Mus musculus: one gene and its partner. The protein of the gene in region 1 interacts with the protein of each later gene in a pairwise test. Links are inferred from orthologs where the notes say so. Each region holds a gene or a part of one and is shown on either strand. Other genes may lie near its edges.

Region 1 (6,294 bases):
GGTCACACTGATCAGAGCCCTGAGCCAGCCCAATCTCAGCTCTGCCCAGACAAGTCCAATTAGAGGTTGTGTAGGGGCCTCATTAGCTGTGGAGGCAGGAGTCTGGAGGAGGGGGGGCACCACAGGAAGCTGAAGGCGCTGAGACCAGACATCCAGCGCTTTCCATTCTTACTCAAAGCCTGAGTAAGGCCTCAAAATACACCCCCATCAGTCTCAGAGCTGGACTCCCAGGACCCATGGAGGCTTACATCAGCCTGTTTATTGGAGCCTTATACTGATCTGGAGCCTGTGGGGTCTTCCAGGCCTGGGAACCCTCAAGGCCCCTATCAGTATTTTCCCAGCACCTCTGGCTCCCTGAAGGGTGACAACTATAAACCCAGCCTGATCCTTGGGGTGCCTCCCAGAGCCCCTGGACTCCCTAGGGTCCCTCTGCCCACTCCTTTTTGGAATTGCCAGGATCAGGATGTACTGAGGGCAGGTCAAGGGTTCTGAGACAGCCACAGACTAGATGGAGGAGGGGGATGTGACTCTTGCAGTCAGAACTACACCACCGGGGCAGAGGAGGTCTGTTAACCTGATCCTTACCGCAAGCATGGAGCTCTGCTTCCTTCTAGAGCACGCACTGGCTCTCTCTGCAAGTCTGTCTGCAGAACATCAAGATTTGGTCTCCTGGACTCTGCACCAGAGCCCTCTCTGGGCTTCTGACCCAGCTCCAGCAAGGTACCCACTACCTGAGGTCCAGACTGATGTAGATGACCCCTGGGGATACAAGCTTCCAAACTCTCCGTGGACCCCCTCTCAGCACCCACGGAAAGCCAGATATGCCATGGGCACTGATGACTCTAACTCCTTCTCAGGACTAGAGACTGATGTCCCCAGGGTGTCCCTCCCCCATGCACCAGCCAGTGTCAAGAGGGGGCTCAGTACTTTCTTCCTTTTTCCCTCTGGGGGTCTCTGGATGCCCCTAGTCCTCTGCAGGGCCCATTCTCCAGAGAGGCCTCCTGTGTGCCTGTGCCCTCAGCTACCAACTCCACCACCCTGACACTTTCTGTTGTTACTCTGTTCTGGCATGGACTCACTATGTTCCAGAGGCTGGGGACGACCTTGAGTGCCTATCTTCCTGTTTCTACTTCCTGGGAGCTGGGGTATAGCTCTCTGGCCATCTTGCCCCCCTTCTTTTCTTCTCCTCCTCCTCCTCCCCTACCTCCCTTCTCGGGACCGCCCTCCTTCCCTGTCCCTATCCTGCCCACTCACAGCTGAAGACAGACCCTTTGCCGAGTCACCCGAGACCATGGTGTGGCTTTATGTCCCCAAGCATCTCAGGTCCCACGACAAGGTCATTTTCCCTCTACTGTCCCCCAGCTGGAACAGACACCCCCTCCATCCCAGGCCAGCTGCTACCTAAACTGGACCATTTGGGGTCACTTGTCTTGGGTGACTCATCTATATACAGGGCCAGCTCAGGAGTACACAGGAGCTTCTGCTTAGCGGTAGAATAATTGCCTAGCATAGTATAGACCTTGGCTAGAAAGACCCCTGGTGTTCTTGAGATAGAGCCTCTGTGTAGCTTAGAATCATTTTAGTGGTAAGCCTTCCTTCCATTCCCCCATCTCTCTCTCTCTCTCTCTCTCTCTCTCTCTCTCTCTCTCTCTCTCTCTCTCTCTCTCTCTCACTTTAATATTATTTTTTAAAGACAGGGTTCCTCTGTGTATCCGTGGCTCTCCTGGAACTTGCTCTGTAGAGCAGGCTGGTCTCGGAGATCCGCCTGCCTCTGCCTCCCCAGCACTGGGATTAAAGGCATACGCCACCATCACCATGAAGCTTTTTAAAACGACATTTCATGTCTTTCACCATGAATAAGCGCATCTTGACAGTTTTTCTATGGGGCAGCCTGACTTTGTCTGTCCCTTGAGGGCAGGGGTGTGTTCTGTTGGCTGGGGCTGGACCCCCCACCTGCATCAGGCTCTCTGCAAGCTCACTGAGTAGACAACACAGCAAGACACAGCAAAGGAGCAGAGAGGGTAGAGCCTTGGGGGCCCCTGGACTCCTGTGGCTCAGGGCCTCTCTCTGAGTACCTGTTGCCTAGCAGGGTCCTCAGAGGGAAACTCAACCTCCTGCGGCTCAGGCTCAGGCTCAGGCTCAGGCTCAGGCTCAGGCTCAGGCTCCACCTCTTCCCACTGCCACACTCCATACAGAGGACTAGAGAGGCCAGCACTGGCTACATCCTGCTCCTGGAAGCAGAAGCTGTATGTGAACCTGGGAGGGCCAGAGAAAAGTGGGGGCACAGGCAGGACAGAGGTGAAGGGGGGCACAGGTGTGGGGCTGGGACAAGACAATAGGCGGAAAGATATGGAGGAACGGAGGAAATTGGTGATGGGACCAGATTGGTGAGAGATGATGTTAAGGAACATGGCCTTGGAGTTTTCAGGGCTGGGGCTAAGGCAGAGAAAGCTGGAGAAGGGCAGGCGATGACGAGGTGCTGCTCTGGCCAGAGTGAGGGTCTGAACAGGGATACATGGAGAGTTTCCATGGAAGCAGAGCCTACCTGTCGGATAGCTTGGATCTCCAAGTCTAGTGATGGGGGCAGGGCCATGATCCAGCCTACTCTTCCTGCCTCAGCCCCTTCCAGCAGCCTGGCCACACACAGGGGAGGCCTAGCTTTTGGAACAGACTTCACCCTGTGGCCCAGCCCTCTCCTGCCCCTGTCTGCCCAACCATCCACTCGCTCCCCCCCTCTCCATGATCCATGGCTCATTCATCCCCATTCCCTCCTGAACACCACTCACTCCTCTGGGCCTTCCTGGCTCTGACTCAGCTGCTCCTCCAGGTTTGAGATCTCTTGCCTTAGTTCCTGTAAGAAGCAGAGCATGGGCCCCCGTGGAGCCCACACACTCCTCTTGCCGACACATACTGCCAGTTACCAGGGTGAAGCAGCAGTGGCCAAAGGTCCGGGACTAAGAGAGTTCAGAAGCCCAGAGCACCAGACAGCCCGAGCATCACAAAGGCAGAAGGGACTCTAAGGTGGGTAGATTCACAGAAAAACACACAAAGGAGTTACCCAGACAGACGGATGGACTCGGCCCAGGGGAGACAGTTGCCCCCAGAGAGGTGAGTGCTATGGGAAAAATGTCCACACAAAACAGAGCCAGTAGAGGTCAGGGATGCAGAGTGAGGAGGGAAGGGGCAGAGAGATGCAGTGCTTAGCAGGGAGGAAAGCCAGCTGCAAAGAACCCATAGAGACGGGCAGAAGGGGCACCATGGGCTCAGGTACTACCTGGGTGGTAGTTCTGTACTCCTCCAAGGTCCGGGCCAGACTCTCTGCATGGCGGGTACGCTGGGGTACGGAACACAAAGCTACCTGAGGCAGGGCTCAGTTCCCCAAGACATGAGGCTGCTGAAGGGGGGCTGGCTGAGCTGGGACAGCCTGCAGGCCACACTGTAACCTGGGAGAATCCCTTGGGCCGGTGTGGGTTGCTTGGCTAGGGCCCAGACCTGGGTGGGCTCCTGCCACACAAGGCAGGGGCTATGAAGGCACGCTAAGGGCAGGTCTGTCCCCTCCCTGTCCCTCACCTCTGAGAGGACTGCTTCACGCTGGCAAATGAGTCGTTCGCACTCACAGAGCTGCCGCTGCCAAGGAAAGAGCCTATCCATCTCTTCACAGGCCTCCCACATCTCCCCTCGGCCTCCCACTGCGCACCCTCCTCCCTGCACCGTCCCTGTCCAGTCTTCCCTCAGCTGCCAGTGACACCCGTGGGTGTCAGCTGCTCTGAGGGGGACTCCAGCTGACTGCCTAGGATGTGGCATGTGGATTCTGACGCAAGAGCCTGTTCTCAGCAACTCCAGCGCTGACTCGGGTACAGGGAGGTGAGTACACGTTCCGCACCTTCAAAGCGTCCTTCTCTGTGGCCAACTCCTCACTCCGCCTTTTCACTCCATCTCTCTCAGCTAGCAGCTTCTCATTCTGCAGGGAGGACAGCCATGCTCACCAACCAGGAGTGTGAGGTGGACAGCTGCCATTCACTGCCATGGCTGCTCTCCAGGCAGCCCCTTTCTTCCATCACCCTGAAGGGAGGGACCTTGTCTGCCCTTTCTCCATAGGTGGTTTCCCCACCAATGAGGTGATACCTAGATTGTATGAGGTCCCTGGGAGCTAAATGAGTGAATGAGTACATCTAAGTACTTTGCATGTATGACTCCATTTCTTTTCCCAGTTTTAATGAGATAAAGGCAACTCAGGAACAGAGGGGCTGAGTAATTTGTCTCATGTCACACAGCTCTTACTCATGCTAGCACAGGCCAGTGAACGTGAATGATTACAGACATTAGAGTTGAGTCAGCATGCGCCTGGCATGCACCAGATATAAATGTTAGAGATGAACAGTTATAGATAATTAAAGAAACTCATGCTTCCTAACATACGAAACTAAAGTATAGTGAGCCCAGAATACTTGCAAGTGCGCGCACGCACATGCACACACACACACACACACACAGTCTCAATATATAGCTTGGGCTGGCTTTGAATTTGTAATCCTCCCGCTTTAGCAGGAAGGCAGGTATGAGCCATCATACCTCACCCTCATGCCCACTGTAATAACTAGACTTTGGTTCCTCCTTTTCTTTATTTCTTTTGCTTTCTTGTCTAACTCAGTCATTTTATTAAAGCAAATCTCCCATTTTGCCTGGAGCAACCCCAGTGTTTACCTACTTATGACAACTTATTTCCTTTAGTAAAATGTAATTCCAGAGTTGGCAACAAAATCACCCCGTCTTCTTGTATTCCACCTAGGGTGTTGGCCTGTGGCAGACATATGCCCCCAGATGTGGACCCCTGTAGTGACTTCACAGTCACCTGCAAGCAGGTGGGTAGATCCAGGGCTGGCACTGTCCATATTACATTGGCTCTGTAAGTGTGTGGCTATATAGCCATTAATAGCATCCTTCCCTTCAGCTCTACAGGAGGAACTGAACAGAGGCTACGAGACTTGGCAAGGCTGCCCCATCTGTGTGATGCCCAGTCCCACCTCTAACACTCAGCCTCTGGGGGGGCGCAGATAAAACTCTGGGTGACAAAAGCCTCGTGAGAAGTGGTGGTGTTGTATGCACAAGGTGCACAGGGACCAGAAGTGGAACAAGGAAGACACAGATTACACTAAGCCCAAGGCTCACTGAGAGACTCAAGCTGGGTGGTAGAACAGCCACAGGGCTTGGTTAGGAGGTGGTGCCTGGGCTGAGCCTCCCCAGGGGAGACACTGAGGTCAGGAAAAGGCATCCACAACAGCTCTCCAGTGTGACCGAAGCTGGGTGTGAGGAAATGCAGCTGTCATCTCAGCACCAGGCAAGCTGATGTAGGAGGATAACTTTTAATACCAGGCCAGCCTGGGCTATATAACAAGACCTCATCTTAAAAAACAAAAACAAAGCTGGGCAGTGGTGGCACATGCCTTTAATGCCAGCACTCAGAAGGCAGAGGCAGGCAAACCTCTGAGTTCGAGGCCAGCCTGATCTATAGAGCAAGTTCCAGGACAGCCAGGGTTACACAGAGAAGACCTGTCTTAAACAAACAAATGAGCAAACAAACAAACAAATGAATATGACAATTCCAAGTCCAAGGTTCCAGGCACCTGAAGTCTAGCAAGCCACATCCTCCTCCAGAGCCCAGGAGACGAGGCCAGTAGCTCTTTGGTATCTAGCCCCATCCCTGCTCCCGGTCACCAGTGCGTCATTCATCTCAGCAGCTCGGGCTGCTGGGTGAAGGGCAGAGGAAGGACAGCTGGGAGTGCTGTGTCAACACCTGTCCACCTGGTGGGACCCAAAAGCCATCTCAGCACCGTGCAGCCTCCTGCAGAAGCACCGGCTGTAGATCCTTGGGATTCAGCCAGCAGCCAGACTTTGGGAGACCGAGTATCCTGTTACTCCAGCAGGCCATGCGGTGTAACCTGAGATCTCAATCTCTAGATTTCAGTGGGCAGCTGCAGTGGGTCAGCAAGGGGCTGAGAATAGCTCTAGCTCTGCTTGAACTTGCATGCCTAGAAGTCCCTCTGCAGGGCACAGGGCCTGGTGTAGGAGGCAGGGGTGCAGGTGGCCAGTTCACACAGCTGACTCCTGCCGCCTGCATGACATGCCCTGGGGGCAGTGACAAGAAAACCTGTCTGCTATAGAAACAGCTGTCCCAACCCCTCCTATCTGGCTGCTTCCTCGTCCTCCCAGGCTCCCTTGCAGCTGTGGCTAAGGGATCCTCCCCAGCCAACGATATGGTGAGTTGGCTGTTGAAACAACACACAGAGGGGCAGG
Region 2 (6,289 bases), about 65 Mb from region 1:
GCAGGGAGCCTCAGGAAGGTGCAGGTTCCTCCCACACAAGGGAGCTCTCAGGGCCAGGCTGGTGGCTGGGACACTAGACAAGATTCGAAGTTTGAGAACTGCTATGAGCCAAGGGTAGACTTAGGAATATCTTGAAGGATTACTTACAGTTAGCTTTTTTTTCTGAATTGTCAAATATTTCTATAACTGAAGGGAAGATTCCACTATAGGCACCTCTATGCCTGAGAAGATACAATAGCAAAATAAAAAATAAAAAAAAAATTTTAAAAAGCTTAAAAAGCAACCCTGTGATTCCCCAGTCCACTGAGATGGGTCAGATCAGGGAATACTGGACAGTTTTAAAGGTTATTCTGGTTTCTTTGTTTGTTTTTTTATTTTTATTTTTATTTTTTTGTCTTTTGAGACCGTCTCCCTGACTGGCCTGGAACTCACTATGTAGACCAGGCTGGTCTCATATCTGCCTGCCCCTGCCTCTGCCTTCTGGGTGCTGGTGTTAAAGGCATATGCTACATCCAGCTGTTAATGGTTCTTAATGCTGCCGGCTACCTTTCTCCCTTCCCTGTACCGAGGGCTTGCCAGCCTTTACTTCCCTGCCTGGAGGGTTCACTCCCCATTTCAGTCTCAGGAAAGTCTCCCAGGTAGACTTCCCCACTCAGCATACTCTGCCTCTTCCTTCTATTCTGGACTACTGTGGTTTTTATTTTTCCTTTCCCTATCTCTACTTCCAGCTACTTGAATCTTTGTGACATGTAACAAGACAGACAGACATTCTGACTGGTCCTTAGGGGTAATCAATATCCCACAGGGACAACTACATTGTCAGTGGTGTCTCAGGAACTAATAATATGCCTTCCTATCTGTGGTTTCTTTCTTCTCTTGTTCATTGAGAGACTGTTTCATCTTTGTAGCCTGTTTTTGCACCCTCTCATCTTCCCTGTGGTGTGTGTCCATGTGTGTCTGTGAGTGTGTGTAGGAATTTGTATGAGTGCATGGAGCTGTGCACCTGTGCACACTCACAGAGGCCAGAGGAACATGTGGGTGTCATGTCATCTATTCCTCTACCACACTTCACTTGGTTCCTTTAAGGCAAGGACTCTGGAGACACTCCCCCTCCATTCTCCCCCTCTTCCTGTCTATTCCTCTCTCTCTTTTGGTTAGACTGGAAGCTAGAAAGTTCCATTGGGGTCTCAGGTGTGTGTGGGACAATGCCCAGCTTTTGTTTGGGTACTAGGATCCAAATGGCAGTCTTCATGCTTATGAAGCAAGCACTCTTAATAAACAAGCCATCTCTCTATCTCTAGTGCTGTGATGGAACCCAGGACCTTGTGTACATTAGACAAGCAGGCCACCACAAAGCCACATCCATTACCCCTCCTTTCTTGCACTTTAACCTTCCTGCCTTCTTCTTAAGGCTGGAAAACAAAGAAAGCAGCATAAGAGCCTTGGTTTGGATATCAGGTCTGGATTCTGCTTGTCTTCTGCCATGACTTAATATGTGAATTTAGATAATTTACCTGTCTGTGTGTTTAAATTAAATGTCTGGACCAGATGATCCCCCTGAAACATCTTTCAGATAAGTTCACACTGGAAAAATCAATTACTTCAGAAGAGATTCTAAAGTCAAGACATGTTTCTATACCTCTTTGAAACAGCTGAAAGAAAGTTCCTATTTACTGTATATTTTAATATTTTCAAAAAGCAAGTGTTATCTATGGAGAAGTAGAACCTGGCAGCCCCTACACTGGATTGATTAATAAAAAGCAAATTCTTGGAAGAAGCAGAGAAATAGGCCACAAATAAGACCTGGCAGTGTCAAAAAAGGTCTATAAATTAAATATTCAAAGAAGTAAAAAACAATGTCTGTTTAACCATTAAGCCATTAACCAGACAAGATCTCTAAGCACAGACTATAGTCTAAAAAGGTCTGAGCGGGAAGAAGCCCCTGCAGGATGTACTGGAGGGAAGGACTTGGTCCATAGCAAGTTGCTATTGTATTTAGTTCAAACCCAGTTTTCTCAGTCTGTCAACCTGGTGTGTGTGTGCACATGCGCACACGCTTCAGGCTGCAATTATGCTTCTGAAGTGCTGAAATGAGAAAGAAACAAATAATTGATAGCAAATTCAAAGGAGTTAATCTGAAGGCAAATTAACTTGGGTTTTAAAATGTCTCATGTATACATCTATAATCCTAGCACTTAGGGAGCTGAGGCAGGAAGCTCATGAATTTAAAGCCAGCCTGGGCTACATGCTAAAACCTTATCTCAATGCCTTATTCCCAACTCACCCCATTCCATGCCTGGGCTGCACACTGAAACCTTGTTACACACACACACACACACACACACACACACACATCCCCTTAAAAGACTGTTTTTTCCACTATTCTATGTGCTATCCTTGTTTATTATAACATGTAGGCTACAGAGTTCTGCGGGACAGTAAACTCTAGTCTGGGGAAGGGCTGACCTCTGCTATGACTGAAAGCTAGAGGTGGGCTATAAGCCTATATACTGTCTGAGAATGCCCTGACTCATGTACTTACTTGTCGTCATTCACAGAAACTGTCTCCACAAAAGGGATTTCTTCTTTGTCTGTCTTCCCCACAATCAGCCGGTGCTTGTCCAAGTTTATGATGCACTAAAACAAAGCAGGATCACTGGTCACTCAGTGATGCTACTCTCAGTTCCCTGCCTCTGAGACGAAATATCAGTCCTACCTTCAGGGATCTAAGAGTCTGGAGACCAAGTGATAAGCTTTTTTCATTATCATCTAATAAAAAACAAAACAGTAAGAGTCAGACATTTCCATGCTGGCTTGGATGTCAGCGTAAACACCATTCAATGCATTTGTATCATCTATCCATCCACCCATCCAGCAAACCAGCCAGCTAACTACCCAATAAACAGCCGTTGAACCTGTACTTTCTCCGATCATTATAGCTAAAAGAAGGTAAAAGCCAAAATTCAAACCAAAGTCTTTTTTGCTCTAGAGGACAAAGGCCTTCAGTAAAACAGAGGCAAGTACTTAGTGTAGTCTAACAGAACATATGAGAAGCACAGAAGGAGAGTAGGCAATCAGGCATTTATGGCAGGAGTACAAGGACCTTGTCTTCACCAGTTACGAGCTCATGAAAAGTGCCTTTTGGGACATTTTAGCTCACACATTAAAAAAAAAAATCTGTTTTTAGGTAGATAAGATGGCTCAGTGGGCAAAGTGATTGCTGTCATATCTGATGACCTGAGTTCACTCCTTGGAATCCACAGTGGAGGGAAAGACCTAACCTCTGACCTCCATAAAAATGGCATGTCACAAGAGCACACCCTCCCCAAACACATACATTAGTAAATGTAGGAAAAGTCTGTTTCCTGTGGCTTATATGCATAATGGAATTCCTTTTATCCATAAAGAATGAAGCTATGCCATTTGCAGGAAAATGGATGCAACTGGAGACATCATAGTGAGTAAATTAAACCAGTTTCAGAAAGACAAAGAATTGATGTTTTCTCTCTTTTGTGTGTCTTCTTTCAGAAGGGCACAGACAGTCAGAGAAACAGATGACATCAGGTAGTGAAGCTGTTGGGGCAACAGTGGGAGCTGACTGAGCAGTGAAGAGTGAGGAAGTGCATTTACATGCCTGTATGAAAACAGCCTTATGTCATCAAGATTATTAAAATTTTAATTACATGTGTTTATTTATGGGGGCATACCTGTGCCGTGGAACACATGTGGAAATGTGAGATCAAACACAGGCTGTCAGTTTGATTCCAACCATCTTAATCCACTGAGCAATTCCACTGGCTCCGTTCTATTTTTAAAGATTTAATGTTTCTGTGTGTGCCTAAGTATGTATGTACATCACATGTGTACAAAAGCCTGAGGATGCCAGAAGAAGGTGTCAGATCCCTTGGCACTGGAGTCACAGGTGGTTGTGAGCCATCCTATATAGATGCTGGGAACCTAATCTGAGTCTTTTGAAAGGGCAGGAAATACTCTAAACCACTATGCCATCTAGCCCCTGGTAAATTAACTAATTAATTAAAAAAAAAAACCTGATGTGCTGAGCTGTCCATGGTGGTACACGCCTTTGATTTCAGCACTGGGGGGGGGGGGGACAGGAGAATCTCTGTGAGTACAAGGACAGCCTAGTGTGTATAGTGAGATCCAGGACATACAGAACTATATAGAGAGACCCTGTCTCAGAACAATAACAACAAATGTGCACAGTATGGTGGCATGAACCTTTAATCCCAGCGCTTGGAAGGGTAAAATTATGACAAAGGTGTAGAGTATACGGAAATGGAAATCTTGGATTTTGAAGAAGTCAGTATTATAGGCATGAGAGTTTATGTTAGACCCATCTGTCCCCCAATTTAACTCACCAACCACAGCTGCTTGGCAATCCAGACGGAGAGAACCCACTGTGATCATTAGGTGCTCAATCTGGCCAACTACTTTGAGATGCCGTGGTAGAGAAAGCTTTTCCCCTTCATGCTTGTGAGATTTGACATGGTCCTTTAGTCTGAAACAGAGAGAAAGCTATTATAATCCCTTTGTCAAAGTTTTCTGTCTCAGAATTGGGTTCTCGAGGGACTTCCTGAGCTAGGCAGGCTATACTTGCTTCAACCCTTTCTTTCTAACCATGCCAGGGGAATACAAGAGAAAACAGGGGACTTGTTTCCTGTCTTTCAGAAACTTAAATTACTACCTGCATTTGTGCAGAGAGGAGTTGACATGTTTAGGGAATTCTATTCTGCATCCTAATATCCCTATTAATGTGTCTTTATCCATCTGCGGATAACAGATATCAGAGGGCAAATTAATCCTAACTTAGAAAAGGCTTCGTTCAAGGTCCATTTTTCTCCTTCCTATTTCAATTTCTTGTCATAAAATTGTCTTAGTCTATAAGGCTAATGGAGACAGGCACTTGTTTGGTAAGACTATTGATACTGGTTAGCAGCAAAGCATATTATGGGGAAAGTCCTCCCTAATTTGACTTGCCTTTGCTGGGATGGAAGGAAAGGAACAGCACCAAGGTTTCACACAATTACATAAGCTGATTGGAATAGCTAGCACCCGAGCTATTATGGGCTGGTGGATAAATACTTAATTAGGGATTTTCTGTGCCAATACTTCTGTTTTCCTCCATTTCCTCTCTTTTGGTATTACAGCCCATCCAAAAGAAAACTAATTGCAGTTTTACAGATGGTTATTAATTCCTCCGGAACCATGGCAGTCTGCTGCCTAATTATGCACCAGGACATCATTAGTCTTTCTGGAACCATCATATTGTACATACCTCATCTCTTCACTACATTAAAAAAAAAAAACCAAAGACAAAAAACTTAAGATTCTTCCCACTTGAGTCCTGGGATCTACTTTTCCCCAATCCTAGATAGTAATGTATAAAATAATTCACAGAACAAACTTCCGAGAGTCCCAACAGTGGGTAGGAAGTGAGAAGTAGGCAGATATAGGAGAAACAGATGATATAATGCAGTCATTAAGAACTGCAGTGAAGCCCTGGGTAAGCCCAGTTGAGAATATGCATGTTTTGGATGAAGCTCTAAACAGGCCACTTGGTCTGTCTCATTAATTACAGAGATTTGGCCTGAGGAACAGTTTTCTGTCTACAGCAGCGGTTGGTTCTCAACCTGTGGCTCCTGACCCCTTTGGGGTGGGGGTGAATGACCCTTTCACAGGGACTGCCTAAGACCACTGGAGTTTACATTGCAGATATTTACATTACAATTCATAACAGCAACAAAACTACAACTATGAAGTAGCAACGAAAATAATTTTATGGCTGAGGATCACCACAACATGTGTATTAAAGGATCACACATTAGGAAAGTTGAGAATCACTGGGTCTACAGAAAACTAGGGGAAATAATATTAGGTTGATTCTAAGCAAGATACCTCAGAGAACATCTGGTACTTTGGAAGAAAGAGTAAGAAGAAGGAAGAAGTAACAGGAAAGGTTGAGTGAAATAGCAGTAAGGTAGAGAAAGCCATCCTTGCTTCTACACTTCTGGAGTAACAACAGGACAACTTGCTGTCTAGAGAATCAAGGCAGGGTATGTACTGAGCGAGAGTCTTATACTTTCTCACTCCATACTCTAGAAACCTGCTCAGAATTTAGAAAGTGGAAATTAACAGAAGGCCCAAGGTCTCCTGCATTTCTCCCACTGTCTGACAAATTGCAGCACTCCTCTCTGTTAAGGAAACTGGTTCTGGAGGAGAGGAAAAGCTTCGCATGTTTTTCTTGCTTCTGTGGATACATCCAAGCATT

The links.
Region 2: the proteins of Kash5 (region 1) and Nrip3 interact in binary tests that used the Homo sapiens proteins (3 or more experiments, as listed by UniProt). The two-hybrid records come from large-scale screens. The link is inferred for Mus musculus from reciprocal best matches to the Homo sapiens genes KASH5 and NRIP3.

Annotation. Positions count from the first base shown.
Region 1 is NC_000073.6:45,186,067-45,192,360, forward strand, and holds part of Kash5 (protein KASH5), read right to left. Parts: intron 5,803-6,294; coding exon of another isoform or gene 5,788-5,802; exon of another isoform or gene 5,526-5,787; intron 5,225-5,525; exon of another isoform or gene 4,937-5,224; intron 4,863-4,936; exon of another isoform or gene 4,790-4,862; intron 3,962-4,789; coding exon 3,884-3,961; intron 3,865-3,883; exon of another isoform or gene 3,662-3,864; intron 3,628-3,661; coding exon 3,571-3,627; intron 3,335-3,570; coding exon 3,275-3,334; intron 3,109-3,274; exon of another isoform or gene 2,852-3,108; coding exon 2,787-2,851; exon of another isoform or gene 2,634-2,786; coding exon 2,546-2,633; intron 2,232-2,545; coding exon 2,076-2,231; intron 645-2,075; coding exon 586-644; intron 1-585. UniProt on the Homo sapiens protein: As a component of the LINC (LInker of Nucleoskeleton and Cytoskeleton) complex, involved in the connection between the nuclear lamina and the cytoskeleton.
Region 2 is NC_000073.6:109,759,105-109,765,393, forward strand, and holds part of Nrip3 (nuclear receptor-interacting protein 3), read right to left. Parts: intron 4,520-6,289; coding exon 4,380-4,519; intron 2,770-4,379; coding exon 2,717-2,769; intron 2,638-2,716; coding exon 2,543-2,637; intron 2,086-2,542; coding exon 2,070-2,085; 3' UTR 1-2,069.